Tribolium castaneum: one gene and its partners. The protein of the gene in region 1 interacts with the protein of each later gene in a pairwise test. Links are inferred from orthologs where the notes say so. Each region holds a gene or a part of one and is shown in the gene's direction. Other genes may lie near its edges.

Region 1 (6,074 bases):
GATCCCGAAGTGCTCTACAGATTCCTGCACAAATATTTTCCTTATGGTAAAACTACCGACAAGAGTAAACATCTCATAAAACACGAAATTGCATTATCCTGAACTTTAATATTAACCTTGATGAAATTTTTAATAACAGACTTCCGACAATAAAACTGTTTTTCAAGCATTTGCATTACGATCTTTTAGAACTCCCTTCAAATTGTTATGGGCATGTGACGTCACCGACCAATATTGCCAGTTTGGAGTATTAAACTGACGATAATGTAAATCTTTTTAGCAACGACTCAATTTTTTTCTAACAATTTTTATTAAAAAAAAAGAAAATGCGGAAAAAATTTCAGTTAATCTATGTGTCATTGTTTTACTAAACACATCTAAAAAAGTTGGCAATATTTATTTTGCATAAAGTGACTCATGGTACAGTTCCAGTCAGAAATTATGTCACGCGACTGTTACGCACGGGTGAAATTTACTGAACCAATATCAAGGTCACGAAAAATTTCAAATTGTGGATCAATTATGTAGAAATTTTAACTGAATAAAAAACTTCTAGTTATTAATTTGTTTTATTATTCCCATCACGCCTTCTGCATTCAAATTTTCAAAACCCTTGCTATTTATCGTGGTTCAAGTATCTCAAGACGCAATAAATACTTATTGATCCAACGCCTTGTTTCCACACCACCCTGTATATGCACCTTCCCGAATGCATTAATTGAATTAGACGCCAAGTTGCGCAGCGTGCTATGGCTGTCAATTTGCGAAAAAAAAGGCGATCGTTTTCGGACCCTCACACACCTCATGCCCCAAAGCCCTTCGCCGAACTGCTTCCCGGCCCCAATCAGGGGGCGTTTCCTTTGTTTTTCGTCGGTGCGCCACTGCCGCACCCGAGCAGCGTCGCCCCGAATCCGACGCATCACGCCGTTACTTGAACCACCGCGTGCACGGCTTGCTTGACGCATTGCAGGTACATATCGACCAATGGGAACGCAGCTCCGTACGAAAGTACGTTGTAAACAAGCCGCGCCCGACATTCAAACGTGGCGGACTCTCCGCGCGCAAAACTAGATCCGGGGCTTTGCGGCTTTGGGGGGCTCAATTTTGAAAAAGCGTCTTTGTGGGGGCTTGTGGCGGGTTCTCGCGAGGTTTGGGGGGGTTTTTGTGGCGCTGGGGGCCCGCGGGGGGCCTCGGTGGGGGCGGGCTGGGCGTAGGAATATTTACTCGTTGGTGTCGTAGCCGCACTATTGCGCTTTGGCGGTAGTGCTTTCGCAGCCCCTCCACCCTCCCATCCTAAACAAAACGAGAAAAGACACAGACGCAGACAGTTGGCTGGTGCACTTTGACGCGAAAAGTCGCAAGTGACAGTTGTTTTCGTGGCAAAGAATTGTTTAGAGTGCCCTTTTTACCGGAAATACAGCCATGGTAAGTGGGCCGGAGGCGGCCGAAGGGCGGCTTTGGGGCGCGGGGCTGCGGATGGTCGCGCTTCGCGCGGATATTTCTGGTTTGTGATGCTTTCGCAAATAGCTGTCAGTTGCCGTAAACCGGTAAATTGGTTTACCGCAATGCGGACAAATTCAATTTCGACGGCTATTTTCGACGGTATTGCTAAATTTCGACGCTGGGGACTTGTATCGATCTGTTGCTTGGGGTGTTTACTTTCTGATGGCTTGTAGGCTGACCAACTCACCGAGGAGCAGATCGCCGAGTTCAAAGAGGCTTTTTCGCTGTTCGACAAGGACGGCGATGGCACGATCACTACCAAAGAATTAGGAACTGTTATGAGATCACTAGGACAAAATCCCACGGAGGCAGAACTCCAGGATATGATCAATGAAGTAGATGCCGATGGTAAGATCAACTCGACTTCGATAAACAAACGACTGTTTTGACAGGGCTTTTTTCTATTGCCAACTTAACCGTGTGACCGTTAGGACCATCTGTTGCCAGTTTGATTATTTGCCTTCAACGTTTGTTTTATTAAGAAAAACGGAATGATGTAATTATTGCCAGATAAAACTTTATCGCTACATACTATTCAAAGTGTAACAGTTTGATCGGTTATTTTTTACCAACGTTGATAAACCGATAATGGACTGCATTGTTCTCAAATAGACTATACAATCGGTGATAAAATCGCAACTCTCGATAATCCCAATTAAAAATTCTTCATAGAAACAAACTTATCTTATCGCAAATACGTCATCGATATTTGGCTGTGACGGTTATTAATTAAATAGCAAACCCCAATCAAAAGTTTTTTCATCATAAAGTTGGTAACGAATTCAAAAAGTACGTTAATGACTAAACTTTGAGTAAGATGAGTAACTTATGTCCACAGCATGAGTAATTTCACCTTTCGGAAAAACACCTATGCATTGATTAGAACAATTTATCATTAAAAAAAACGTAGATAATTTCGACGAAAAGTAAAGAAATCGGTTCTTAAAAATATCGAATAAAACATCACTTTAATAATTTGACCCAGTGTTGGTTATAGGCCGCTGCTAGACACTAGAAAAATCGCCCATCTGTATGTAGATCAGCGTCGGTCGAATCGCATTAGCCATGAAATTACCCCGTGGCACCCAAGATAATTTGCGAAACAGCATTCATTTGTTATTCAATGACAGTTCGCACTCCTAAGCCAACGATGATGGTCCATAAAGGCTAAGATTACGCTATGAATTTTAATAGAGCGGACTAACTGTGTGAAGGAAAATGAAAATGCACAAGTATTGAATATTTCAGACGTGGATATTGTTTTAAAAAAGATAACGTTTGACTGAGTCGAGTTTGAACGGGAGAAAACCAATTTTTTCATGTTGCGGTTTTGTTTATCAAATAGTGACGGAAATTCCTGTTTTCTTAATTTATAACAATGAAGGCGTGAATGTTGACACGGATGCGTAGTGGCGCCGCCACTATACGAAGGGCTATAAATTTTTATAAATTGATTATTACTGCGCTCCCTGGAGACGCAAAGGTCGCAACTATTTGGAGAATTCTGGTGTGTTTTTCGGAGGATGTTATTTTCGTATTTATTGCTGTGGCAGCGCAATTTCGGGCCGTGTTCTTTGCAGTTTTAGTACCTTTTTAATTATCCTAAACTATCGAAGGATAAGTAAATTAGATTATTTTCCGTAATGCGATTCCAAAAATAACAATTCGATGTGGGATTTTTCTGGGTGACACAGTTTTTTGGGTGTTTAGGTAATGGTACAATCGATTTTCCTGAGTTCCTAACGATGATGGCCCGTAAAATGAAGGACACCGATAGTGAAGAAGAAATTCGCGAGGCATTCCGAGTATTCGACAAAGACGGCAACGGTTTCATTTCGGCAGCCGAATTGCGTCACGTGATGACAAACCTCGGTGAGAAGTTAACCGATGAAGAAGTCGATGAAATGATCCGAGAAGCTGATATAGACGGCGACGGTCAGGTCAATTACGAAGGTAATGTTTTTTCGGGTGTTTTGTGTGTTGTACATTTATCATTTTTGTCGGGTATAGTGTAGTAGGCTTGGGACGATCACGGGTCTTTGATTTTCGTTTGGGTTTTATGTGAATGTAGCTCTTTTTTTTTTGGTTTTATTTCGATATGTGTTCTAGGCCAGGAAGGTATGACTGGTAGTGTTCCTTTGCAGATTTCCGAGCTCTAGCTCTCATAGTTTTCAGTCGGTACTCAGCCACACATGCTTCGAGCTGGTCAGTTGTAGTCTTGCTTTGGGAATGTGCTTAGTGGCATGTTATTTTGTTACTGTTCTACCTATCACTGTCTTGAGCACTCTTTGACGATGTGTCTATTCGCTTTTTATGGTTAGAGTTGTTTTTGATTACCAACAGTGAAGCACATTTCCAAAAAACTTTGACTGCATCTTCATTATTGTCGTAGATACAATTAACAAAAACTAATTAAAACAATAAAAAAGTAATGTGCGCATTACGATTTCAGAAGTTTCTTGGCTAATACGAATGAAAATTATTCGTACCAGTAATAACGTTTCACTTATATCGATGTAGTGCACCCAACACGATTCTTTATTACGTTGGGATTATGTTGTGTTAGGTTTATTTTTTATTACTGAGGATCTTTTTAATTAATCTTGGTTTTTCTTTTCCTTTTTGATTACAGAGTTCGTTACTATGATGACTTCAAAATGAAGAGTAGAGCAGTTTGCATTTCAGCTTTCCATTGTTTCATCCCGGCCCATTATCTACAATTTCAACATCTTGAACTTTTTGCTTGGCTGCCGGGCCACTAAAGTGAAAAACTTAATCGTTATTTGATTTACAAGACAACTTTAATTAATAATAAATATTTATAAATTAATATAATTGTGTAAATTTTTGTAATATATTTGTTTGGAAGGTGCAACACCAAGCATCCTCTATACTGTTTCAACTTCTGTGCTACATGTCTAGTTGAGTCGTTCTCGTTATTCACAAAGTATGAAATTGTACTTATAAGTCGTTCTTTCGGTGTTAGTTTAGGGGATACACAGACTTAGAATACACTCAGAGTTTCATGTTTCATACTTTGTGATCCAAAAAAACATACATCTGTGCACTTAACTATAGTATGTATCCCCTTTGTTTTTATTATAAATGAGTCATTTGTTCAGTTGTCATCATCCCCAGATCTACTGTACTGTAGGTTTTACATTTTCAATAGGTAGGATTTTCCAGTGTATAACCAAATAGACACTTTTTTCGTCAGCCTTGTCATTTTTTATTGAACTGTTTTATTTATTTTATTTATAGATAAGGACTATCATCGGTTACAATGTGAAATTATTAGATGTTTAAATTTGAAATAAATGTGACTAAAAATTATTTATCTAGTGATTGTTTATCATCCCGTTATTAGATTATTACGGCTACATTACTATTACGATTTTTTATGTTAATACTTTTTCCTTATTTTAAAAATAAACAATTTAAAGCGATTTTCTGTTCTTGCCCAACAAACACCATAAAAAAGCAACGAACTGCCTTGACCGGCACTATCACATTTAATTAGCACTGAAAATGAGCGAGATAAAAATACAATATTAGCAAAATAGTGAGTGGTAAAAAAAAGAAAAAATTATAATAAACAATTTGCAAAAACGTAAATATTTTACCCGTTTAGCCGATCATATTGTAACAATATGACAAAAATTGCTTTAAAGGACTGTAGTTACGCTATCTGCCGGTAAGCCAAAAGAAAAACATCCTTAAAGAATAAAAATATGCATAAAAGAATAATTTAATCCAGCGTCCTTGAATGTTGGCCCATGATAAACGTTGAAAATGAATAATGACTATAATGAGGCGTTTTTTCATATTTTACTGCCCGATATGTAGACACGGACCGGCCAAGTTTTAATTAACTCTTGTTTCGCTTGATGAAAAATTCTCCCCTCGGCAAATCTATTGCCACCCCTCCTCACCCCTTAGTGATTAGCAGTAGGTCATCAGGTGCGCCACCACTGACCTACCGCGTGTGAGTAATAATTCCGCGCACCTTTTATAAATAGATGGATTCGTCCGAGTTGTTTCGCCGGATTCAAGTCTTCAGAAGTAGCGTCGTTAGCGTCGCGACGCCGTGACCGTGGATGCTACATCTCTAAAAATAGTGTCAGGTGTCGGCAATTACGTTCTTTACCTTAATGAGGCCTTATTTACGAATTGCCCGAATCAATTTGCCAAGGTAATATCGATTGATGATTTCATTTCGTTTGTAAAACATTGCGCCTGCCCTGCACATGTCGCTACATTTCAGACTGTTGTAAGAACCACCGTCACCATGAATCTGATGTTCCGGAAAAACTTCCGGGAGCAAAAAAGCGGCGTCGCGAGCAAAACTTCGAAAGCTTGTGCCAACAGACATGCGAGCAAGAGGGCCAGTCGGGAGCAGGGGTACACCCCCATGGAGGAGCACCACTATCGGACACATCTGTTCTTCAACCCGTCGAGATGTAGTTACGCTCAGGCGGCTGAAGACATGGACGGTACGCTTTATTCATGCTTTTCCCCTGAAAATACCGCCCTCAGTGCACAAACAATACCTTTCAATTGTCTTTCACAGG
Region 2 (5,063 bases), on another chromosome or scaffold:
ACATATTTTTGTTTAATAGAAAACTAACACAATAATGAAAATAAATTACTTTGTGTACCCACAATTGCTAGAATAATGAGAATTAACTAGAGTTAGAATTAAGTATTCCTACCTACTATACGCTTTATCTATACTGTCTACTTGTTCCTTTTTCTCACTCTGTTTTCAACTTGCACGTTTACCAGAATTAAGTTACAAGACATTGATAAGGTGACAGAGAAGATTACGTCTATTTCTTCCGTTGTGTAAGTGTGCTGTACATACGTACTTAATTAAAGCATGTTTCTGCATGACCTGTCCATTATTTCTGTTTTTTGCCCGTTAATTCATCGTTAGTGTTACGATGAGTTAGCGAGCAATTTTTTAAATGTTTCGGGTAAGTTCTCTTCGCTCTCGTCTCACACTTCACTCTCCGTAATTTTAATTATTTCGTTGGTTATTTTAGACGAGTTTCGAGCAGTTTTAAGCACAATGCATCTTTTGTAAGTCGATTACCGACAATTCGTCGCCACAAAAGCACTTCACTTCATTCCCCGTCGATGCATAAAGGACCACCAAGAAGTGGTAGGAGTTTCGTGGATTTAAACGCATCAGCAGAAAATTTAGGTAGATTATGACAGTAGCTTTTGCATATTTGACCGTAAAATACAAAACAGTTGATGTTACCAGGCGGAGTCAGCAACAACGGATCGCGGAATTTGAGCCATAGCGAGGATTCGGTTGCAGAGACGATGCTTTCGAAAAAAAATTCCGACGGTAAATATTTCTGATTGGTTTTCAGGTAATAACTTTTTTTTAGATGAGGACGACGAGCCGAGATATATACAGTTAACGAATCAGCACAAAGGGGCAATCCGGGCCATCCGTAAGGTAGGCAGCTTTTACCTATTGCACTCTTATATGATCGTTTTATCACTCATTTCCATAGCGAACCAGCAATATTGATTCGATGTTTCATTATTATTTAGATGAAGTATTTTGTAGCAAGGCGAAAGTTTAAAGAAGCTTTGAAACCATACGATGTCAAAGATGTGATAGAACAGTATTCGGCCGGCCATGTTGATTTACTTGGCAGAGTGAAAAACGTTCAAGCTAGGTACACTCTGGTGTATTTCGGAGGTTGATTGTGTAGTTTTCCTTGGAATTACATAAATTCAATGAGTTTTGATATACAAGCGAGACGAGTGGATTTACTAAAACGAAACAACAAGTCACAAGACCAGTTTTGGGGTATTGTTTTGCCGAGTGTATCGTTTTACTCGCCACTCTGTATATCACATCATCCAATCAACCTTTCTAAGTGTCTGCCTTATTTGTCGTCTTCGACTGACGATCTGATTTTAAAAACTGATTGTGTGTGTGGCCGTCACTAATCACTAACCACTGACAAGTTATTCGCATGCTGACTGTGGGTCCTTTAGTGTTTGACACGTACATTTCTCATATGTGTAAGGCGTATTTAGGCAGAGGAAAAACTAGTCTATATTTACATATAATTAAATATATACGAGTATGTATCTAAAAATCATGTATGTTCCTCGCTTTGTGTGTGTAGCTCAAGTATTTTGTGGCACGAAAGAAGTTTAGAGAGGCCTTGAAGCCATATGACGTTAAAGACGTTATAGAACAATATTCGTCTGGGCATGCAGATCTTTTGAATAGAGTGAAAAACTTACAGTTCAGGTAAGATGCCTGAACCAAATAGGTTCTATTTATTTTGGAAATGTTTTCGAAAATGGAATTATGAGACCAGCTCTCACATGCATGAGTGTTTATTTTGCACTTTGCTGATTCACAAAAGGTCCCAAACTAAAGCTTGAGCATGTATATATTGTCCGCAAGCACGAGCCACCACATACTAAACGTTTAACACGTGCCCTATTACAGATTAGATCAAATCCTAGGGAAACAAGGCTCCAAGGCGAAAGATGTTTATGCTTCCAAAATCAGTTTAGCATCGCGCGTAGTCAAAGTTGAAAGACAAGTAAGGAACCACCCAGTTCTGTCCCTTGCTATTTTTCCGATTTTGTAGGTAGATGACATAGAGTCTAAGATTGACCAGCTTTTAGAGCTTTACATGGAAGACCGTAAACGCTTCCTCTCTCTTCCTTACATCCAGCCAAGCGCCGAAAAAAACACCACTTCCTCTAGTACAACCGTCAATCTATGTTCTTCAAACATGACAAATCCGTCGAGTACAATCCTTAAACCTAAACCAATACTTGTAGAGAAACAATCATCCGAACCAAGTTCGCCAATCACAAAAAGTTTTAAAGAACATTCAACGGCCGCAGTAACAAAACGACCAATGCATCGCGGATTTTCCGACCTCGGCAATCGGATTAAAAAAAGAGTGACATTAAGGTTTTGGCTATTTTTGCACAAAAGCGCCCCTATATCGCCCATTTGCAGTTCAATTTCGTCGAATTATGTGTGCCCACCGGATGGCATGTCCTACGACGGCGAAGTCGTGATTGTGGTTCCCCCCATCAACAACACGCCATCGACAGTTGGTGCTTCGGCACAGGAGCCGGACTTAGGGAGCCCAAAGACAGCCACAGAAAGCTCTGGTAAATGTTGTTTCATGCAAATCTGGTTTAGAATGCCCCTCTATTGTTTACTAATATTTTTCAGCTTCTTATGATGGTTATTCATCATCTACCTCCTTGTAGTGATGATTGCGGACTAATAAGTTGTTTCTGTGAGTTTAACGCAAATATCGTTGGATATTCTACGTTTACCTTTCATATAATGTGGAATGTGCATGTAGTAAATCTCAAACCGCGATCCGATCTAATACAGTTTTAATAATAAACCACCTACTTAGCCCCTCTGTAAACCACTGAAATAAACACTAACTAACAGCAGCCGTCGACGAAGATTTCGACATGATATTTAATATTTATTCTCGATGTTGAAATCTGTTCTTGGCCCTATAGTAACCGTTGTAGAGTATATTCGTCTGTAATGGCAAATCCTGTAGCGCAACTGCACAAATTGCCAAGTGATTAACACCGGTTTTTCTCTACAGGGGTGAAAAAGTTAACGAGAAATCGAAATTGTGAAGAAGATGAAGACGACGCAGCGGAGAAGCCGTTACTATGCCGTTCGAAATCAACAGAAATACTCATCACGCCAACGACTTTAGAAACCACCAGAGAAGAATTTTATGATAATAAAACTAATCAACAATCAAAAAACAAATTTTTAAAAGACGATGTATGACATAATTTAAATTTGTTATTAGTTTATATATTATGACCGTTAAATATTCAAAATAATGTAAATGATTATAGATTTTTGGACCTAAAACTTGCGAATATTTTTAACATGTACTGAACTTAGGGCACAATAATGACGCTTATTAATATAAAAATATATTTGAAAAGTTTGTACTTCTTCACTTAGGATTAAAATTTGCTGTAGCATGTTTTAGCTGTGATTTGTTTCGACGTTTTATACTGAAACTTTACAGGGACATTGGCCAATGCTTGTAGATTAATTCAGTTACGTTTCACAAGTGAATTTTAACGGCAACTTGTACTTACAACGACCACACTATAATCCTAACGTTTTTATAATATCAAGTAGAAAAAAACGCCTAACAAACAATCAACGACTTTAAAAATGTGCTGCTGAAATTCACTTTTAATCAGTAGACTATACTATAAAATTTAGCTATTTAAAAATGTACGTAAAATAATGTGATTAATTTATAGATACGACAGTAATATTTTTTGACCCGACCCATTGCCTACTGTTGTTACAATAAGTATTTGTTTGCTTAAAAATGATGTGGAACATCTATACTGTACGGGATTTTTAATAAAACATTTTAGAGACTAAGTTTTATTAGTTTTATTGTTCCTACAAAATTAACCCTAGTAATGGAATTAAACGAATTAAATAGTAAATCATGTGGAACAGTTTATCGCGACACTGAGAAAATCTTCAAATCCAATTGTAATAACCCCCTTCATTTCACTGTCCCTTGATCGGAAAGCTTCAGTGAACCGCTGGATTTGCACGCAAAGTACGATAAATTGGTCTACTGACATTTGTTTGTGGTTTTGAAGGTCGCTTTTAGCAATTAAAAATTTTACGAAATCGGGGGAAAATTTAAATCCCATCTGTTGCAACGCTAAAAATAAAATAAGATCCAGCAATAATTCTATTAACACCGACATTCTTTAAATATTTCCGGGAATAAATGTAGATGAGTTGAAGATTACCTTGGGCAAGTTCTGGCTCCTCAATGTGTCCTGACTGGTCCCTATCATAATTTTTAAATACAGCCAACCATTGATTAATGTATGCGAAGAGTTGTTGGAATTCGTTAATATCAATTGTCCCTGTCTTATCCCTATCAAACATCCCAATCATAAGCTTGCAAGCGACGTCTGAAAAATTCTTCCCCTGGCCATTGATAAGAGCACTTTGTAGTTCTTGCCAATTTATTTGACCAGAACGATCCTTATCTACTGTATTAAACCACTGCTGAACATCCGGAGTTGCAGCTCCTTGACCGTACCCAGGGGCAGCCCCACCAGGATATCCTTGGTATCCACTCCCGGGATTCTATTTAACGAGTAACATGCATAATACAATTTATTACAGTTCTCTAATAGGTACTTACACCGTACATTATGCTTGTGGCATGTACAATTACAAAAAAATATTAGAAATTAACGCACATTTATATAAACAAATAATCACCAAGAACTGTCAACTGTTAACCTCTTATTCTATGGTAACAGTCAGTAACAACGCTTCTAGAGCCATCTGGAGCGGAAATATCCTATTACCACAGAATAGCGCTACGTTTGATTTTTGACTCCGGAGTTATTAAGCTTAGCGTCAGAAAGCTCCTTTAATTGTCTATTAAAAAAAGACCATTGCCTTGCAACTAGGAGTTTTTGAGAATATTGCTAACAGAAGTAAAAATTGGTAAAATATATAGATATTTATAACTTGAAAACTAGGTATTACGAATTTTCGTATTTTCTTGAAACTAATTAATTTTCCAGATTATTTTACATACAATAGTTTTGCTGGAAGTAATT
Region 3 (6,065 bases), on another chromosome or scaffold:
TAACATTTGGCGGAAACATCTCCGCCATGACGGCCCACGGAATCGGCCCCAAGCCGATATTAAACGAGATAATAAAAACAACTAAACTCATTACTGGAAGCCAGGAGAGTGTATCGACTTGGAAACTGTTGCTTTTGAGGTAGAAATACGACCCAAGCGAAACAAGAGAAACACCTGACCCGACCATTGAAAATAAAAGAAGAATCCTCCGCCCCGATCTATCCACAAGCGACGATGTTAACACCGTGGTGAAGACCTGAACCGTTCCTATAATAATCGAGGAGATTTCCGGTGAAAGCCCGCTTCCTGTTGCATCGAAAATCGTCTGCAAGTACGAATTCACAGCGTTGATCCCAGCCATTTGCTGCAAAACCATCAAACCGACGGTTATAACCAACCCTTTGCGACTAGCCCTTGACTGAAACAACTCCCTCAAACCGCCCTGAGCCCCCTTAAGACTCTCCCTAACACCGACAATTTCCTTATCAACGTCCCGCGACCCCCGCAACTTGGCCAAACACGCCCTCAAGCGCCCCTCATCGCCCCTCAAGGCCAGGAATTGGGGCGATTCGGGGGCCCACCCCCCAAACAGCGCCAAAAACGCCCCCAGAGGCGCCAAACACACCAAACAGTAGCACTGAACGGTCAAAAACGGCCCCACGGCGTAGTCGAAAAGCACCCCAGAGGCGATAAACGTCGACATGAGACACCCCAAAGTGCCGCGGTTGCGGTCCTCGGAGATCTCCCCCAGGTACATGGGCATGACTGTGAAGACGCTCCCCGCCCCCACACCCATGACCAAACGCGCGATGTAGTAAAGTACCACCGAATGGGCGAAAGCCATGGTCAGGAATGACGCAATTATGGGCAAAGCCACGATTAGGAGCGTTTTTTTCCGCCCGATTTTATCAACAAAGAGACCGGTTAAAAGTGGGCCGAAAATAGCTCCAAGTGATAGTAAAGACGCGATTAGAGACTCCTCGGAAGGGGTTGGGGGTGGGTCCAGTGGGTTGTTATCGGGGTCCACACTTCCGTTGAGTCTCGGGAGGAGGGGGGACGCCAACCCGTAGGCAAGCCCCACAGTGAACGCAATCAAATTCGCTGGTAAAAAATTGGTTACGTTCGATTATGTGACTATTGGGGGACTTACCCACGCACGCGGTATAGTACAAGTAAAAACTGGACATTTTCGGTTAAATAATGACGCGAAAATTAAATGGGGACATTTATTAAATCGTGTTATCTTTACAAGCAAATCAATGATTTACAATGGTCTAGACGGATCAAGGTATTACAATAGTAATTTTTATTCATAAAAGACGCATATTTGCAGCTCAAATATTTGTTTGGTTATTGCGCAAGTTGTCCGGTTTGAATTTGGTGCGTGAAAATGACAGGTCACTTGACCTACCGGTGAAGATAGCACCATGAACATTATAGTCGACCCACCATACAGCCAAGTTCACACCAAGAAAATTAGCAAAATAATCGTAAATCATAAAAACATCAATAAGCTGTTACGATGACTTGTATATCACATTTGTAGAACATCTCCTGACCATTCAATTAATTTCTGCATTTTTTATTCACATATTCAAGCAATGCAAACTGATTTTTTTCACCCCCTTTTATCCCGCAATTTTCTTTATTTTTCCAGGAGAATAAGCCCTTTGATAGGGCCTTCGACTGTAAAAAAATCATGTTCGGACAAACACCCCTTGGGACCTTAATGAATTTTTAAAGATAAAGTTTACGAAATCGGGAAATTTTAAAGAATTTTTGTCCGAACATGATTTTTTTACAGTCGAAGGGCTTAATCTCCTGCAAAAATAAAGAAAATTGCAGGATATAGAGGGGGTGAAAAAAATCAGTTTGCATTGCTTGAATATGAGAATAAAAAATGCAGAAATAAAACGCAGTTAAATTTTAATTTGTAATAGGAACACATTAGAATGGTCAGGAGATGTTACAGCTTATTGATGTTTTTATAATGATTTACGATTATTTTATTAATTTTCCTGGTGTGACCTTGGCTGTAGAAAAAATCGTGGGTACAGTTGGTCGACTGTAATGTTCATAGTGCCAGATGTCGGCTCAATCGCCCAATTCCTAACCGTAAAATTTTCAAATTGTTTGCTTTTTGAGTGCCGTACTTCGTGTCATTTTGTACAATTAGGTGCCATTTCGTCCCAATTAAATTAAATAAAAATTCTAACGTCCCATTTTCCCAATTTGTCGCCAAACCAATCAATCAAGTCGCCTATAACAACAACAAACAAACTCGAAAATGTCACACTTGACGTTTGTTGCAATTTTATTTATTGTTTAATGGGTTAAAATAAACCTTTGTGGCATAATGGAGGGCGATTCGACCAATCGGGTAAGTGTCTTATTAATAGAACGTGCAATGTGGGCTAAATATAGACTTCGGCCAGGAGGGTGCCCCCCTTGGAGACTCCGGTAGTAGCAGCTTGACTCTGTCCCTAACCCCGCCTTTGTCCGAGACAAGCACGATCTCCGAGCACCTATCAAGCGTCGAAAACGACCGTTCGTTGCCAGAGCTGCTCGTCAATTTCCCCCCAGATGAGAGGATCTCACTGGAGCCCAAACCGCCATCCCTTAGTGATAGTTACACGAGTAGTTTCGTTAGTCTAAACGGGCTAGAGCGCTTCATTAGTACAAACATGGAGGGGCGGACACACGCTCAAAGCATCCTCGAGGAAATCCTAAGTAACGACCAGTTCAAGTCCGATTCCGACGAAAGCTTGAACATTTTCGCCAACGTGGACCTCGACGACAAACTCCTAAACAGTTACAACGCCGGCAAAAGCGTCAATTTCGACCTAAACGACGAGGTTTGCAAACGAGTCAAAGACTTTGAGGATTTGATCGCAGTCAAAAACACCACTATTGCCGCCCTAACTTCCGAACTCGACTCATTTCGCGAATTGTTGAGCAACACGTCGAGTCTGGGGACCACCACCACCGAGTACAAACAGTTCCAAGAGGAATGCCATAATAAGTTAGTCGAGTACCGCGACGCTATTGTACATAGAGACGAACAAATCGAAAAATTGACCAGTTCGTTACAACAGGCGATTTTAAATCGCGAAGAAATGAAACAACACTTTAGGAGCGAAATCGCGCAGTTGCAAGAACAGCTGGAAAAAACCTCAAACTTGCTCAAGGACCACAAAAAATCGTTTGACTTTGACGAGATTTGCGCGCAGTTTGAGCACAGTTTGGGGCCCCCACAGTTGGCGCCTTTCGGCGAGTTGAAGGCGGCGTTCGCTAGTTACGTGGAGATGAGCAAAAGGGCGCTCGAGAACGAGATTAGCAATCTGAAGGTTTGGTCAAGTCACAAAGTGATAATTTTTTAATGTGTGTTTTTAGACCAAGTTTAGTTCGGATAAAGCCCAGTGTGAGAGCGAGATTAAGAGCGAGTTGGACGCCAAACATTCGAAGGAAATGGAGGAGTTGCGGACCTACTTTGAGAAGAAATGCGCCGATTTGGAGAAAAAGTTTGTTTGATTTTGTAAAAAAATTTGTCGTAATTTTGCAATTTTAGTTACTCGGAGGAGGTGTTCAGTCAGCAGAGCCGCAAAATGTCCGAATCGAGTTCGTGTTCCGAGCTCAGTTCGGACTTTGTGGGGCCAGGGGGCGACACTAGAGTTGACTACACAAGGAAGGATTTGGTTAAATTGCGCCAGAGTTTGGTTCAGTTGATTAAAATTTTCGATGGTTTCAATTTGGAGGATTTGTCCGATTCCGATTTTGAGCGTCTCACGTCCGAAATTGGCAAATTTGAGTTTCGGAATTTGCTCAAGTTCGATTTAAGTCTCATGAAGAGTGAGCTGCAGAATAAGTATCACGCTGAATTGGAGATTTTGAGGGAGGATTACGATAATCGTGTCGATGAGTTAAACGTTGAGCATGAGAAGAAATTGAAGAGTTTGAACGAGGAAATTGACGATCTTAATCGGCAGTTGAGGGGTCGGATTGTTACGACTAGTCAACAGGAAGTTGTAAGTTTTGTGTTGGTTCTAATTGTGTTTTTGTGTACTAACTGCATGACTGTTAGGCGAATTCGGGCGAGTTTGAGATTGATGAAGTGGTGCAAAGCTATGAGAGACGGTTGCAAGAACAAGTCACTCTAGCTAAAATTGACATCATTGCTGCGTTAGAATTGCAGATACAGGTAGGTCGAGGGTTGTGTGTTGGGAGTACGGACTCGAAACCAAGTACAAAATCGCTCCAAATCGTTTTAAATTAGTCAAAAGACTGAAAAAAACTGACGACTAAAAATTATGGTTAAATAATGGTTAAAAATACAACAAAAATGTTAGAAAAAAATTGTAGAGTTAAATTCCTTACAAAAAATTCTACGAGACCAAGCCGATTTTAACAAAATATTTGACATCTTTACACTTAAAATTTTAAAACAGAGCTTGATTATTGACGAAATGTGGTTTTGCGGCTTATTTTGACGGAATTTTGCTCAAAAAACAGCTAAATCGGGATAAATTAACAACAATTTCAATTTATTTTGTGATTTTTAGCTGTGTTTTCAAAAGTTCTTGCAAAATAAATCAGTCTCAACCTAAAGAAGATAAGATAACATTTATTTCGAACTAATTCTGTAATTACTCATGCAATTTTACGTAAATTTTTCGAAAAAAATTGTTAGTTTCTCAAAGGCTAAAATAACATGACTTTTCGGCCTGTTTTTAATGAACTTTTCTGGAAAAAAGTGCGTTTTTGACTGGATAACGTGCCTGGAAAAGCCAAAAATAAGATAATTTTGGATTTAAATTGGTGATTTTTCGGTTCATTTCGGCGAAATCAAGGAGAAAAAACGGGGTTTTGGCTCTAGAACGTACTTAAATGTTCAAGAAAGGCAGAAATAACATTTTCTTTGATGAAAATTTATTGTTGTAAATGTTCTTGTGCGATAAATGGTTGAAATAATTTAATTTTCATTTACTTTCAGGGAATTTTTCTAAAAAAAAATTGGTTTTTATTCCAAAAATGTATTTAGAAATCCGAATGACGCAGAATTCACACAAGAAACTGGGAATATAACTTTAAACCCGTGTTTACTTGCTCGAAAAAATATAAAAAATAACACATTTTTCGACAAGTTATAGGTTTTTCGGTTTATTTTTGAAGAAATTTTGCTCAAAAACGAGCTAAGAAAGAAAGGAAGCCCAGAAATGTAGAAATAACATTGTTTTTCATTAAAATTTGTTGTTGTAAAAAGTTTTTTTACAATGAATGAATCTCTGAATGAAATCTGCTTGAAATAATCTAATTTTCACCGACTTTTAGCGAAATTTTTCTGAAGAAACTTAGTTTTTATCTCAAAAAAAGTTTAAAAATTCGAAAAAAAAGCGAATTCACTAAATTTTCAGTCTAACTTTGTGAAGTTTCGACTTATTTTTGTGCAAAGTTTTAAGATATAATCCCTCAATACACCGTATCAGAAACTCGAAAAAGAAAAAAGAAAATTTTATTTTTTTATATTTTTTCACTGTTTCTCCCAAGAAACTGAGAATATATGATCTCAAACACTTGTTTACTTGCTTGAAAAATATAAAAATAACATCTTTTACGACCAAACTTTATAGTTTTTCGGCTTATTTTTGAAGAAATTTCGCTCAAAAATCAAAAAACGAGTGAAACTAATCAAATAAAGCTTTGGCAGGATCTTACAAAATGGAGTTGAAATGCGACATAAGTTAAAATAACATCAATTTGGATCAAATTTCGTGATTTTCCAGCCAGTGTTAGCAAAATTAATCGAAAAAATGTTGTTTTGGTTTCAAAAATTGTTCATAAAGTTTGGAAAAAGTCAGACATATTACTGTTTTTTTGCCTGTTTTTACTCATAACGAAATTTTGCAAAATAATTACGTTTCAAGCTGGAAAATTGCTGAAACACTAAAAAAAAACAAAACAAGAACTATGTAATGTTAGACTTACCTTGGAGATTTGTCGCTCTTCCCCAGCAAAAAAAACTGACCAAAATTTGTTGTCTATAATGTATTCCTTAAAAAAAAAGAGTA
Region 4 (6,022 bases), on another chromosome or scaffold:
CAATTTCGTATGTTTTTGGCTACTAGTCCTCAGAATTAACGAATTCGTGCACAAAAAATTGTTGATCGCACTTTCCGGAAGTCTAGAGTTTGTTTAATTGGGTTATTTATTTATGGCAAACGACCTTGGGAACACGATTCACACTTTTTCCATGATGATGTGGGCCATTAAAATTGTATCAAACTGCTCATTTAGTAAAGTAAAGATTTCCAAACCGATTCAGGTTTTTGCGAGTAAATTTCAAAAGTGAATCCAAAAATTCCAAATTCGATAGTTGTCTGAATTATGAAATTCTGAACTATGTAGCGCTTTTGCAAAAATCTAGAAACATTTTTTTCCCTTCCGACCTAAACATAAACTTTCTGATTTGAAGATCGGAGATTAACTGTTGAAAAAAAAAACTCGTAACAACTAGTTGAAAAATTACGTTATAAGTAAATTCAGACGTTTTTTAGTTTTTTTTTCGAATATTCCATATTTTAATTTTGAAATTGAAAAAAAAAATTTTATACGATTAAAAAAATGTACTGAAAATAGTTTTCAGGTTCCTCTTGTCTTTGACCCATTTTTTTTTCTATTATCATTTAAAATTTCCATTCAGTTAATTTTTAAAGATTAAATTTGATCATCTCGGGGCTTCCCCACAATTTGAATTGCGTTTTCTTCAAACGCTTAGCTAAAAAGTTCAGTGTTTATTGTTATGCATGGTGGAAAATTAGAGTGTACAATAATTTCTCGAAAAATTAGCTTTATTTTAAAATAAAAAAATACTATTTTTTGTAATTTTTCTTAAAAATAAAACGACATTAAATTACAAAAATTTTAGATTTTTTTTACCCCAAAATAAAGCTAATTTTTGAGAAATTATTCATTATTATTCTTCACTATCATCTGCACCATAAATAACAATAAACACTGAAACTTTTAGCCTGCATTTAAATAAGAATAAATTTTGAGACACCCTGTATAAGTCAGTGAAAAAAAATCCTGTTGCAGTAACTTTGCTAAAAAAAAGTAGATGATGTAAGGACAAAACATAAAAACGAAATTTATTGAAATTATTTATTGAAACATGCCATAAAACATTACAACAATGAAGAGATATGCCGTATGTATATTGTAATTGTTTGAAATTAGACAACAAATAGGTAAAGTAGGGTAAATTTATTTATTTATTCAATTTTTTAACTCTTCAGTTTGATTAACTGTTACCTAATGAATTAACGTTGCCATACAAGTAAAAATCGCATAAATAAAAACGAAAATTGCAACATTAGATATAATCTTTATCACTTTACAGTTATCCGTTGGAATTTTACGAAATTCTCAATAATTTGAGACTGAGTCGTAATTAGAGTCCAACTTTTTGCTAAATTATCGTCGAATAAATCTTTTATTCGCATTTTACAATGCAACTTTTTGGGTTTAACAATTTTTGAGGTCCGGTTGAACTTTCTCTGAGTGGGCGATAATTTTTATCAAAGATCACAAAGTAAAGAAACATTTTTTAAAAATGGAAATTTAGTGAACAAAGAGAAAAGACGTAAAAAAGACAAAGCGTTGAAAAACAGGCACAATTCTAATAAAATAGTTCATTATAGTTCAAAACTGGGCATAATATTAGTTGTGGATTTAAACATTGTTACTACATTCATTAGAATTAATGTTAAACTGACCGAAAAAAGTTTTAATACATTCATCTTCAATCAATAAAATCCTTAACTTTTTTCGAACACTTATCTGTTCGCCGTTATCTAATAGTTTGAGCGCACATCGTTAGAGGGTGCGACCTATTAGAAGTCCCGACTTCCTAACCGCCTCCCTGACATAAGTATCCCATCAGCCAAATTTTTCCCCACTCTGGTCTCACTTCAAAGCGAATAAATCTTTCGCCTTTTACTAAAGATTTCCGTGGAGTGGGACAATACAAATGAGTCTATGACAATTTTTTGAGGCCCGGTTGGAGTTTCTCCGACTGGGCGATAATTAAACAAAGCATAGAGCCCCCCAACCATTACTCAAACTTCAAATTGACTCAAAATTTTGAGTGGAGGATGACTCACATCGTCATTGAGGTAGTCGAACCCGTGACATTGCCCGTGGTGCCCTCTACAGTCACCTGCCTCCTCCTCAACTTCCACACCTGTCCGTCGATGGCGCTGCCTCACCTGGGCGCAAGCAATTAAAGTAACAGAAACTTGACCATTTGGTGATAGTTGAGTGCGGCGGAACGTTAGTACCGGGACCTGATGAGGTGTTAGTGTCGCGTTGTGTGTCCTCTTCAAATTACCCAACATTATGTTAAGGATTACATTGTAAAACCCAGGTAAAGTCCCAACTTCTTTCCACGTCGCGCTTCTTTACGGCCAGAGGCATCTTCACGCTCTACCATCCTCCGGAAAGAAGTCGAGGAAAGCGAGTTCGCGATGGAAATCCGATGGCTTAGGGATTGGGAACAGGTGTCGGCTCAGATAACAAGTTTTTTATGATGAGATGTTAGACATTCTTCGGATTTACCGGTACTTTGCCTTAAGTCCACACACATTCCGCTATTCTCTTCTTGGACGCCGTGTCTTGTAAATACTGTTATCTATATGGTTTATCATTGTTTAATGCAAACAATTACTGTATGTACAGTAAGCTGTTTTGTAAGCGGTCACGTGGACGGGGCAGATCCGGGTAATTTGGGCAAGGAATTTGCCGGGGTTCGATACGCCTACTTTACCTAGCGTGAGCCACAGGTAATTTACCTGAACCCACTGTTGCCATTCCAGTCAAATTTCTGCTAAATAAACGCCAATAGGACATTAATCGCTTCGCGGAGATAATTACCATCGAAATTGTTTGTATTAACACCGTGACAATCATTGGCACAACAATGGCTTTTATTAGTACCATTCTTCGTGGTACTTCATTTTTTAGTGCTTCCTTACGTGTTTTTCCAGTTTAGATTAAATAATAAGAAAGGATGGATTAAATTTAACCCAAACAATAAAAGTACAAAACAAAATAAAAAATAAAAACACATTGGTACTACTTTAAGACAAAATAAACAAGAAATGAGAAAACTCATTACGGTGTACACTCACCATCAAAAGAAATGGCGAAGGTGTGGCCTTGCATCTTAAACCGTGTGTTAAAAAAGGACTATTTCATTTTTTCCCTGTACTGGGACTATAATAACAAATAATAAAAAATGTAGATTACTTGACAAGGGTCAAAGTAATCGCGAATTGAATTTGAGTAAATAAATCTGGATCTAGCGATATTTTTTTATGTATTTTTTGCACAAAACAATGTTAAAATATCGTTTTACAATGTGGATAGAAATAGTTTTTTTGGGTGTTAGTTATAGTAGTTATTATATTCAAAAATGGTTGTTCATCAAGTCACCTATGAAATTTGAGCGTAATGTGCCGCTTAATTTAAATTTTGAATGCCGTATCCAAGTGACAGCTCCGTCAAAATGATCCAAAAAGGCTTCGAATCCTAAAACGAAAGAATACACAACAACAAAAAACACCGAAATAAAAAAAAATAAAAAAAGTTATGAGTCCTAATGACCGTGGACAACGGATACAATTTCTTCAAAAAATTTTTTATCAATTTCTGGCGTTTTTGGCAGTATAGATAATTATAATATAATGATAGATTAGTAATAAATGAATGAATTAATATTATCTAATTTTGGGAAATAATTTGTATAATTATTATTACAGTACTTAACTTCTTCAAAAATATGTAACGGCATTACTGATTAAAGGCTAGGCATTTATTGGAATTAGAAAAAATATACCCTTATAAGAAATTGTAAAAGTGCACAGAAAACACCAAAAAATATAATACAAGAAACAAAAAAAAGATTTATTTTAATACCTATTTTCCTATTGATTTCTTCATTTTATTGTGTCAGTTAATTATTGACTTTTAATTAAATGTTAAAAAAACAAAAGAAGGCTGTGGAATTTCTTTTGACATACCTATCCCATCCAAAGCACCAGCGCATTTTTAAAAAAGAAACAGGTCATAGTAGGCAGCTGTCACTTTTCCACGGGTGGGCTGATCTTATTATGATAATTTCTGACAGTTACGAAAAACAGAACTTGGATAATTGATAATGTGAACGAATTTTTGTATTTAAAATCATTCTCGTGTCGTTTATTAAATTGAAACGGAATGTAGCAGAAGATATTTCTGTTATTTGCCGGTGACAATCTAATTAAGTTAATCAGCTCATAGCTAACTGAGACTATACCTACCGTGCCTATAAATTAATTGCAGAAGATTTTTAAAGTTCCCGACTTTCACAATACTTCTAGAATGTCACAATTTGCGCTTATCAACAGCCACGAGACACAAGCTCCATTGATACAAACAAATATAAATAAAGTGTATAGAAAGTCCGTTTTACATTGCAAATTTAAATTATTATTGGAGTTGATAAATTTTCTTATAATCTACTAGACACGAGATTTCTCTCTTATTCTATAAGTAGGATATTGTAGTCTGTGATTTCCTTGACAAAAAATGGAACCATATCGCCACCTGACGAAACATCGTAATAAATGTAACGTTATTGTTGTAAACTTGTAAATTAACTGTAAAGTTTTAATGATGAAATGAGACACCTCTGATAAGAAAATGGTAAATTGGTTTAAAAACTTAACACTTCAACAGCATTTTTGCCATTCCTTGACCGTCACCATGACAAGAAATAAATTTTTATAGACACAGTTAATTAAGCGTCACTCGTCAATACGCTTTATTAGTTGGCTGTGTTAATTTGACATTTAAAGGTCACCGCGACTTGATGCATTTCTTATTTTAGGAAAATTCTCTCATCGCTGGGGAAAACATGCACGAAATTGTTGTTTGATTTGAATAAAAGTGGAGAAAGTGTCAAAATTTTGCAATTTGTGTGAATTACAATCCTTTCGAATGTAAATTTCGACCCATTTTGAACCTTTCTTTTTGACACTCTCTGTATAAATCGCCAACTTTGCAGACGAAATTTCCCAACTGCATTGCGAATTTTCGCGGAAGCCATATGCCAGCGAACGCACTATATACAGAGTGGTGCTGGATGACCGTTATGATTCGACTTTCGTCAATTGTTCATTTGTGACCTTAATTTAATTATGTCGATGTTAATCGAAAACGGTGTCTAAACCGCTCATCTCTCACGCTGTCCAAAATTAACAATGAAACCGAAACACACTACTCCAGATTGTACCTTACGTAAACATTACACGTTTTCCATATCTAAGCATTTTTTAATGAATGGAACAATGAGAATTTTCCTTTTTTTCGCGAGAGATGAGCCATTGTATGCAATGAAATGTGGATCAGTGTACAGTGTGTTAAAGTAGAAAGTAGAAAAAAGTAGGCGTGGAGATGCCGCGTGGCTTGCTTGATCTTTCGCGATGTATAGCCGTCTAGATCAAAGGTCGTAGACTCGGCAACCTTGACATTGTACGCTATGTTTCTTCATAAAAGAATAATGTACAAGATGAGTCAGCTTTCGGACTATTTATTTACAAATAAATCGGAAAAAAATCGTTCGTAATCAAAAATGCCCCTAATTTTGCCTTGACGCAAGTGGTGGCCTCAATCATCTTTGATGTGAAATATGAGTATGAATGGAGCCATTACCTTCTAATCAACTTTCACTCGAGGTTTACCTAAATTTGATAAAAATAATTGCAGGGGGCTTGAGGTCGTTGCCAATTGTGGGCGTTTCAAGGCCAAATTTGCAATTTAATCGATATTTGTTGACTTATATTATGTCATATGTCTATTCCCTGAATAAAAATTTTGAATCAAAAGTATTTTTTACTTAATTTAAATCGCTTATCGCTGAATCACCCTGTACATGACCATAAATAATCGTGAGCAATCGATTACGTCTACCACATTTACACAAGCTTCTCAGTATGAAAAAACTTGAGGACAAATAAATAAAGAGTGAACATTAGACAAAAAACAAGTGAAAGAATCTACTATTGTTAGAAAACCGAACAAA
Region 5 (6,045 bases), on another chromosome or scaffold:
CTTTGTAAGGAAATTGCAGCAGCTGCACCAACACCGGCCTGTGGCAAACAACAGACCAAAAAATTCAAAATTGGATCAAGTGTATTTGGATGTTTTTCGATCCATTCGCATAATTCCCCCAATAACATGACTGAGGTGTATTTTACGGCGATATGTGTGGTTTCGGGGAGGGAAAGTATGGCTTCGACTACTTTCGGGACGACTTCGTTTTCACTCCTGCAAAAAAATCGAGTCAAAATCCGAACAAAAAGTTTTAAATACTTACGGCAAGACATTTTTGGCCACCGCTTGCATGATGAACAAGGCGGCTTCGCTGGAATCCCACGTAACACCTGGTGCTTGCAAATTGACAAACATTTGTCTAAAACAACTGCTACTTCCAACGATAAAAACAACGTCTTTGACCAAATCGGAGACTTTTAATCGAAAGTCTTTAAAATCGTCACCATCTTCGAGCAAGCCTTCATGATCCGGTTCCATTTGACAGTGTCTACATAACGCTGTGATTAATCTTTCAACGTACGGTCGAAACAATTCGGTCAATTCTTTACTATTCTTCTGATACAATTCCTCACTCAGGACGTACCATAAATTAAAGGTGATTTCGGCAACTTCGTATTCGTGATGTCCCACACAAATCAAAACTAAATCAAGCACTTTAATCGCATAATGAAACGATTTCGTGCTACAACTATTGATAATCTTCTCGAGAAACGATTCGGCTAGTTCGGTAAAAATCCGACAGTAATTAATCGACTTCTCTTGGTCTTCGTTTGCCACCGACAGGTGATAAACAATTTCCAAATTAATCACGTTATTGAACAAATATGTTTCGAGGATTTGTTGATTGTTGTTGTCTTCGAGGCATTGTAATAACGTGCAAATGCAATCAGAGGCGGCATCGTGTAACGAACCGGCCACACTTTGAGGTTTGTCGCCTTCTGGTTTATAGTTTAGAATTGAGAAAGCACGCGATATCACCACATTATTGGCAATATCATTTAGAGTGATTGCTCCAACTGACACCCAAGATGTGAAACAACGTAGAATTTTTACGTTGATTTGGACGTTTTCTTGCCAATTATTGCCGTAAGTGTTGGAACAATGAGTGAGGAAGTCGTTGACGGTGCCAGCGCACGATTTCAGGTCCTCCAGCATCACAATACGACGGTTTTCGCCCAACCTAAGTTAAATAAATAGAGGAAAATCCATTCACGAAAAAGTGCTGAGAAAATTCGGTTTTTGACCAAACATCAAGTCAATAAACTATTTCATATAATGAGTGACATAATATGTAATTTACAACATAGGAAAATAATAATTATTTTATTATGGAATACCAATGAGTTGTTAACCAACTTTTTTTAAATAAAACTTACCTAACAGACCGGCTTTCGAGTTCTTCCGGCAGAACGGTCAAAATCTCCAGCAAGGGCCACATATTAGTGGTTGTAAACCTATTAATCAAATCTAGAGCCGCCTGCTGCCATGTGGGCATCTGTAGAATCAAATCGGCCAAAGCTAGACACAACTGAGTCACAATAACAGTATTAGTGTCCTCATTAATTTGACTAATGTGCTCCAAAAGCGAATTTCGCAAAGATTCATGAGCTTCTGTTGGCAATTCGTGAAACGAGTGATGAATCTTCGTCCTCATTGTTTGTGCCCCAAAATAACATGATTCCAGATCACGTTTGTGGTGGAGCAGTTCGTCGGCGATTGTCCACGCATGGACCTAAAAAAACAGCTTACAATTTAGACAAAATAAAAAATTTACGGAAAAACCTACGGATTTTTGGAGCTCTCCGAGCCATTGCGAGGCTCTTTCTTTCTCGGTTGTGTTCGGATTGTTGTACAGAGCGGACACGGCCGCGTACACCAAGTTCAAACTCGGCTTAGAATCCATTTCTAAACGCAAATTGCCCCAATATCACATCATAAATGAGCAAAATTGTAAAAATACATTAAATACATTCGTAAACTGTCCACAAACGTCAAAAACAACAGCCAGAAAATGGATGTTACTAAATAACCATGATTGCCAACTTCCAATCCCGGCAACCAACAGAACACGTCCATTTCTATTGGTCGAGCGAAAGTTGACGGTTTATCATTTGAATCAAAAAACTCATCTCAAGTACAGAGTTTTTAAGAAACTGTTTTATCGCCTCCAACATTGTTGTGTGTTATTTTAATGTTGATAATTTTAACCTGTGACTATGTTTTTGCAAGTAAGTTGTGTTTTATCATTTCTGAGTGGACGTCAGTTACTTAACCAAACTTTAGTTTTCGCCCCCTGTTAGACAACAATCCAAAAAACCAAAGCCGGAACTCGAGCCAGATAATGCCGTTTTATCACTGGCCCCTTTCACCCCAAATCCGAAAATTTGTTTCGAAAATGTTAAAATTGGTCAAACGGCCACTCAAAATCTGGTCATTAAAAATCCGACAGGACATGCAAAAGAAGTAGGTTTGTTCGTTTCTAAGGGCAGGATTTGAGCCATTTTTTCAGCTGATTGCGAGAATTACAATTCCGGAAGAACTTCATTTTAGTTTGAGTTGGGGTGGCTGTAGGATAGATGCCCAGAGTGAGGAAACACTTGAACTTGTTTGGACCCCCACCTGTGAAGGGGCTTGGAGGTTCAATTTGTGTGTTACTGATGATGTAGGGACGTGCCGAAACGTTCCCATCGTTCTTAAAGCAGCCACTTTGACCGTAAGTAAAGATACAGTGTGATCATTTGTTTTTATGATTAGAGTAGGCTTTGATTGTTTTTGTTGAATGGCAGTGCTGATTGTCATAACACCTCCATGTTTTATTATTTGTATAGCACATTAAAGAAATTAATTTTCTAAACTATCAATATTTTTTGTGGTTTAGAAAAGCAAGAAAGGGACCCAGAAACGTTTCCCTCGCTTTGTGGCCAAGAAAAACACTTCACCGGTCCAAAACTTTAAGCGAAAATCGCCACAAAAGCGAGCAATCCTCCCAAACATTACAAACATGCCAACATTTACCGTAAATCCTCCAGAAAGTGAATTCAACGGTAAAGAAAATTTCAATTTATCTCCGAAAATTGAAACACGACGAGATACTTATACCGTAAATCAAAACATCCCCGAGATTTTTGACGACAGTTTAGAAAACATAACGGTGGTAAAATCACCAAGCGTTTCATTTGAACGTCGATTACAATCAACGTCGTTTTTATTAACACCATCGAATCAAATCGATTTCAATCCAGAACGTTGCTCAACCGACGAAAAATCGATCGATAACACTGATAATTTTCTTCTAACATGCAAACCTAAAACTTTATTCAACGACACAACTTTCGAAATTGTAAAAAACCTGAGTAGCGAAACGTATGTTAAAAACCTAAGCTCGGAAACGTACACCAAATCGGACATTTCCGATAATTCACCGTCAAGTTTTTCGAAAAAATGCCGCCTTGATAGTCTTGTCGGCAACGGAGTGAAAATGACCATTGAGGCAGATTTGTGGTCATGCCATCACACAAATCTAGTCACAATTCGGGAAGAAACCGAACCGAAAGCCACACCCTTGAAGCGTAAAAGCGACGTTACGTTTCAAGTGACATCACCGAAACGCCCAAATCTGGGATTCCCCCAAGAATGGGCCAAACAACGCAATATTGTTGTTTTCGAACCGGAAGTTGTAACGTGGTTAGAGGGTCAAGAGGAGAATTTCAAAAAGTGGCTCAATGCTGTTTTAACACCACCTTTGGATCTTGATTCAAATGCGCAAAGTCATCCCTTAGACGTAGCCAAATTGTGGCGAAGTTGTATGGAGAAAGAAATCGAAGTGGCACCGACCAGGGAAATTGTCTCGCAACGGTTTCACAACAATGCTAAACTAAACGCGTTAAGGAGAGCCGCTAAGGCGTTGTACCAAACAAACGAAATTCAAAACGTTTTGATTAAAGTTGGCGCGATTATTGATTGTGGCAAACTTGCGTTGCGGAAAGACCGTGATGTACATCTAGATTTGCGTTTGCAGGCCGATGTTATGCAAGTGATTTTGAGTTATAATCCTCTGTGGTTGCGCATTGGTTTGGAGACGATTTACGGACGGGTGATTCCCCTAAATTCGAATTCGGATGTTAGGGGCTTGACTCGCTTCCTTTGGGAGCGTTTTATGCGGGACCCGGTTTTATTAAAGAAACACCGTTCCGTCCATTCTGAGAAATACAAATCGGAGATCAAACAATTCATTTTGAAGAAATTCCTGGCGTTGGTTTTTTTCCTAGACCGGGCCAAAAGCAAGAAATTGATAGCACATGATCCGTGTTTGTTTTGTAAAAACGCACCAATTAAAGAGAGCCAAACGGCTCTTACGACTTTTGCCCGTGATACGGTTTCGTCAATGGGCGATATTACCAAATATTTGAAACACTTTCAATACACTTTGGTACATAAGCAGAGCTATTTGAATGAGTTTGATTACGCTGTTAAGTGTCTCGGGGTTGATTTACGTGACGGTGTTAGACTAACACGAGTCATGGAAATTATTCTATTGCAAAATAATTTGAGTGAAAAACTGCGTGTTCCAACAGTCTCACGATTGCAAAAAATCCACAACATGAAAATCGTGTTTGAGGCTTTGCAACGTTCGGGTTTCGAAATTCTCTACGACATTACACCAAGTGACATAGTCAACGGTCACAAAGAGAAAACTCTATCGTTTTTGTGGCAAATTATTCACAAATTGCAAACGCCCCTAATGGCTAAAAGTGTGACATTGATAACAAACTGGTGGCGAAGCGACACAATTGTGAAAAAACGAAACGAATTGAAATTAATTCGTGAAACAAAAAATGCAGCAGCTATCACAATCCAACGTTACGTTCGTATGTTTTTGGCCAAACGTCGCTACGAAAAATTACAAAATATGCTAAAGTTTTTCAAAGCTGAAAAACAGGAGAGAGCTGTTTTAATCATTCAGAGACGTTGGCGGGCAACTTTAGCTATGCGAAACCAAAGAACACAATACCAAGTTTTACGTGAGGCTACGATTTTGATTCAGAGACGATTTCGGGCCAAATTATTACACAAAAGTGTTGTTTTTGTACAAAGACTGTGGCGAGCGAAATTGGCAATGAGGCAACAATTGTACAATTATCAAATTTTGAAGGAGACAGTTAAATGGGTCCAAAGTCGCGTTAGGGCAAAGTTACAGTTTAGAGCTTTCAAGCGGTTGAAACAAGCTGCGATTTTTGTGCAAAGGTGTTGGAGAGCGAAATGTGAACGGAAACTTTTCATGGAAATGAAAAACGCAGCTATTGTTATCCAGAGGCGTTTTAGAACGAAATTACTTTACGAAAGGTTTAAGAACTTACGATGGGCCACAATTGTGGCTCAGAGAGAATTTAGAAGGAGACAAGCCAGAAGGATGTTTTTAATGTTGCGGAATGCAACGATTTTTGTACAAAGTTACGTTCGCATGAAACTAGCAAGGGACCAGTTTAATAGATTGAAACGAGCTGTGATTTTTGTTCAGGTGAAATGGCGGTACCAAGCGCTTAAAAAGGCTACGATTTTCGTCCAAAGACAGTGGAGGGCTAAAATTGCAATGATTCGTTCGAAGAAAGAGTTTGAAATGTTGAAAACAAATACTATTGTAATTCAGAGACGTTTTCGGGCCAACAAAGTCGCAAAATTACAAAAGGAACGCTTTAATTCGCTCAGAAAAGCCGCAATTTTGATTCAACGCCAGTGGAGATTGAGAAAAAAAATGATTGAATATCGTAATTTGAGACGGACTGTTGTTTTTCTTCAAATGAAATGGAGGGCTAAATTAGCTACGAGAAACGCAGTTTTGCAATTTGAAGAATTGAAGAAAGCCGTTTTAGTGATTCAAAGGCGTTTTAGAGCGAATCAGTTGGCGAAAATTGCAAGGAACAATTTCGAAGAGTTGAAACGTGTAACTGTTTTTGTTCAGAGAAAATGGAGAGAAAAGTTGGAAATGCGGCGCCAAATTGCCAATTTCCAGGCTTTGAAAAATGCAACTGTTGTCATTCAAAG

What was found.
Region 2: the proteins of Cam (region 1) and potassium voltage-gated channel subfamily KQT member 4 interact in a two-hybrid assay, tested with the Drosophila melanogaster proteins (2 studies listed by BioGRID). The link is inferred for Tribolium castaneum from reciprocal best matches to the Drosophila melanogaster genes Cam and KCNQ.
Region 3: the proteins of Cam (region 1) and Plp interact in a two-hybrid assay, tested with the Drosophila melanogaster proteins (2 studies listed by BioGRID). The link is inferred for Tribolium castaneum from reciprocal best matches to the Drosophila melanogaster genes Cam and Plp.
Region 4: the proteins of Cam (region 1) and ck interact in binary tests that used the Drosophila melanogaster proteins (3 or more experiments, as listed by UniProt). The link is inferred for Tribolium castaneum from reciprocal best matches to the Drosophila melanogaster genes Cam and ck.
Region 5: the proteins of Cam (region 1) and asp interact in a two-hybrid assay, tested with the Drosophila melanogaster proteins (2 studies listed by BioGRID). The link is inferred for Tribolium castaneum from reciprocal best matches to the Drosophila melanogaster genes Cam and asp.

What each region holds. Positions count from the first base shown.
Region 1 is NC_087397.1:1,842,403-1,848,476, reverse strand, and holds Cam (calmodulin), read left to right. Parts: upstream 1-1,265; 5' UTR 1,266-1,422; coding exon 1,423-1,425; intron 1,426-1,676; coding exon 1,677-1,851; intron 1,852-3,213; coding exon 3,214-3,456; intron 3,457-4,135; coding exon 4,136-4,164; 3' UTR 4,165-4,836; downstream 4,837-6,074. Other genes in the region: uncharacterized protein LOC660922, read left to right, coding at 5,792-5,996, 6,074-6,074. UniProt on the Drosophila melanogaster protein: Calmodulin mediates the control of a large number of enzymes, ion channels and other proteins by Ca(2+). Among the enzymes to be stimulated by the calmodulin-Ca(2+) complex are a number of protein kinases and phosphatases.
Region 2 is NC_087403.1:4,839,181-4,844,243, forward strand, and holds the end of potassium voltage-gated channel subfamily KQT member 4, read left to right. Parts: intron 1-185; coding exon 186-245; intron 246-445; coding exon 446-606; intron 607-669; coding exon 670-756; intron 757-799; coding exon 800-870; intron 871-968; coding exon 969-1,096; intron 1,097-1,555; coding exon of another isoform or gene 1,556-1,683; intron 1,684-1,887; coding exon 1,888-1,984; intron 1,985-2,032; coding exon 2,033-2,364; intron 2,365-2,412; coding exon 2,413-2,570; exon of another isoform or gene 2,571-2,634; coding exon of another isoform or gene 2,635-2,672; exon of another isoform or gene 2,673-2,701; intron 2,702-3,031; coding exon 3,032-3,225; 3' UTR 3,226-3,846; downstream 3,847-5,063. Other genes in the region: Pef (peflin), read right to left, coding at 3,915-4,141, 4,233-4,578, 4,637-4,645.
Region 3 is NC_087399.1:2,047,410-2,053,474, forward strand, and holds the start of Plp (pericentrin), read left to right. Parts: upstream 1-2,033; 5' UTR 2,034-2,356; coding exon 2,357-2,380; intron 2,381-2,435; coding exon 2,436-3,347; intron 3,348-3,393; coding exon 3,394-3,521; intron 3,522-3,568; coding exon 3,569-4,025; intron 4,026-4,081; coding exon 4,082-4,198; intron 4,199-6,065. Other genes in the region: facilitated trehalose transporter Tret1, read right to left, coding at 1-1,101, 1,151-1,187.
Region 4 is NC_087398.1:4,866,654-4,872,675, forward strand, and holds the start of ck (myosin-VIIa), read left to right. Parts: upstream 1-1,851; 5' UTR 1,852-2,326; intron 2,327-6,022. UniProt on the Drosophila melanogaster protein: Myosins are actin-based motor molecules with ATPase activity. Unconventional myosins serve in intracellular movements: can function in cells as a single-molecule cargo transporter.
Region 5 is NC_087402.1:360,545-366,589, forward strand, and holds the start of asp (abnormal spindle-like microcephaly-associated protein homolog), read left to right. Parts: upstream 1-2,087; 5' UTR 2,088-2,219; coding exon 2,220-2,231; intron 2,232-2,286; coding exon 2,287-2,466; intron 2,467-2,512; coding exon 2,513-2,716; intron 2,717-2,881; coding exon 2,882-6,045. Other genes in the region: Tnpo-SR (transportin-3), read right to left, coding at 1-216, 266-1,183, 1,380-1,735, 1,790-1,906. UniProt on the Drosophila melanogaster protein: Required to maintain the structure of the centrosomal microtubule organizing center (MTOC) during mitosis. May have a preferential role in regulating neurogenesis. Required for germ cell mitosis and oocyte differentiation.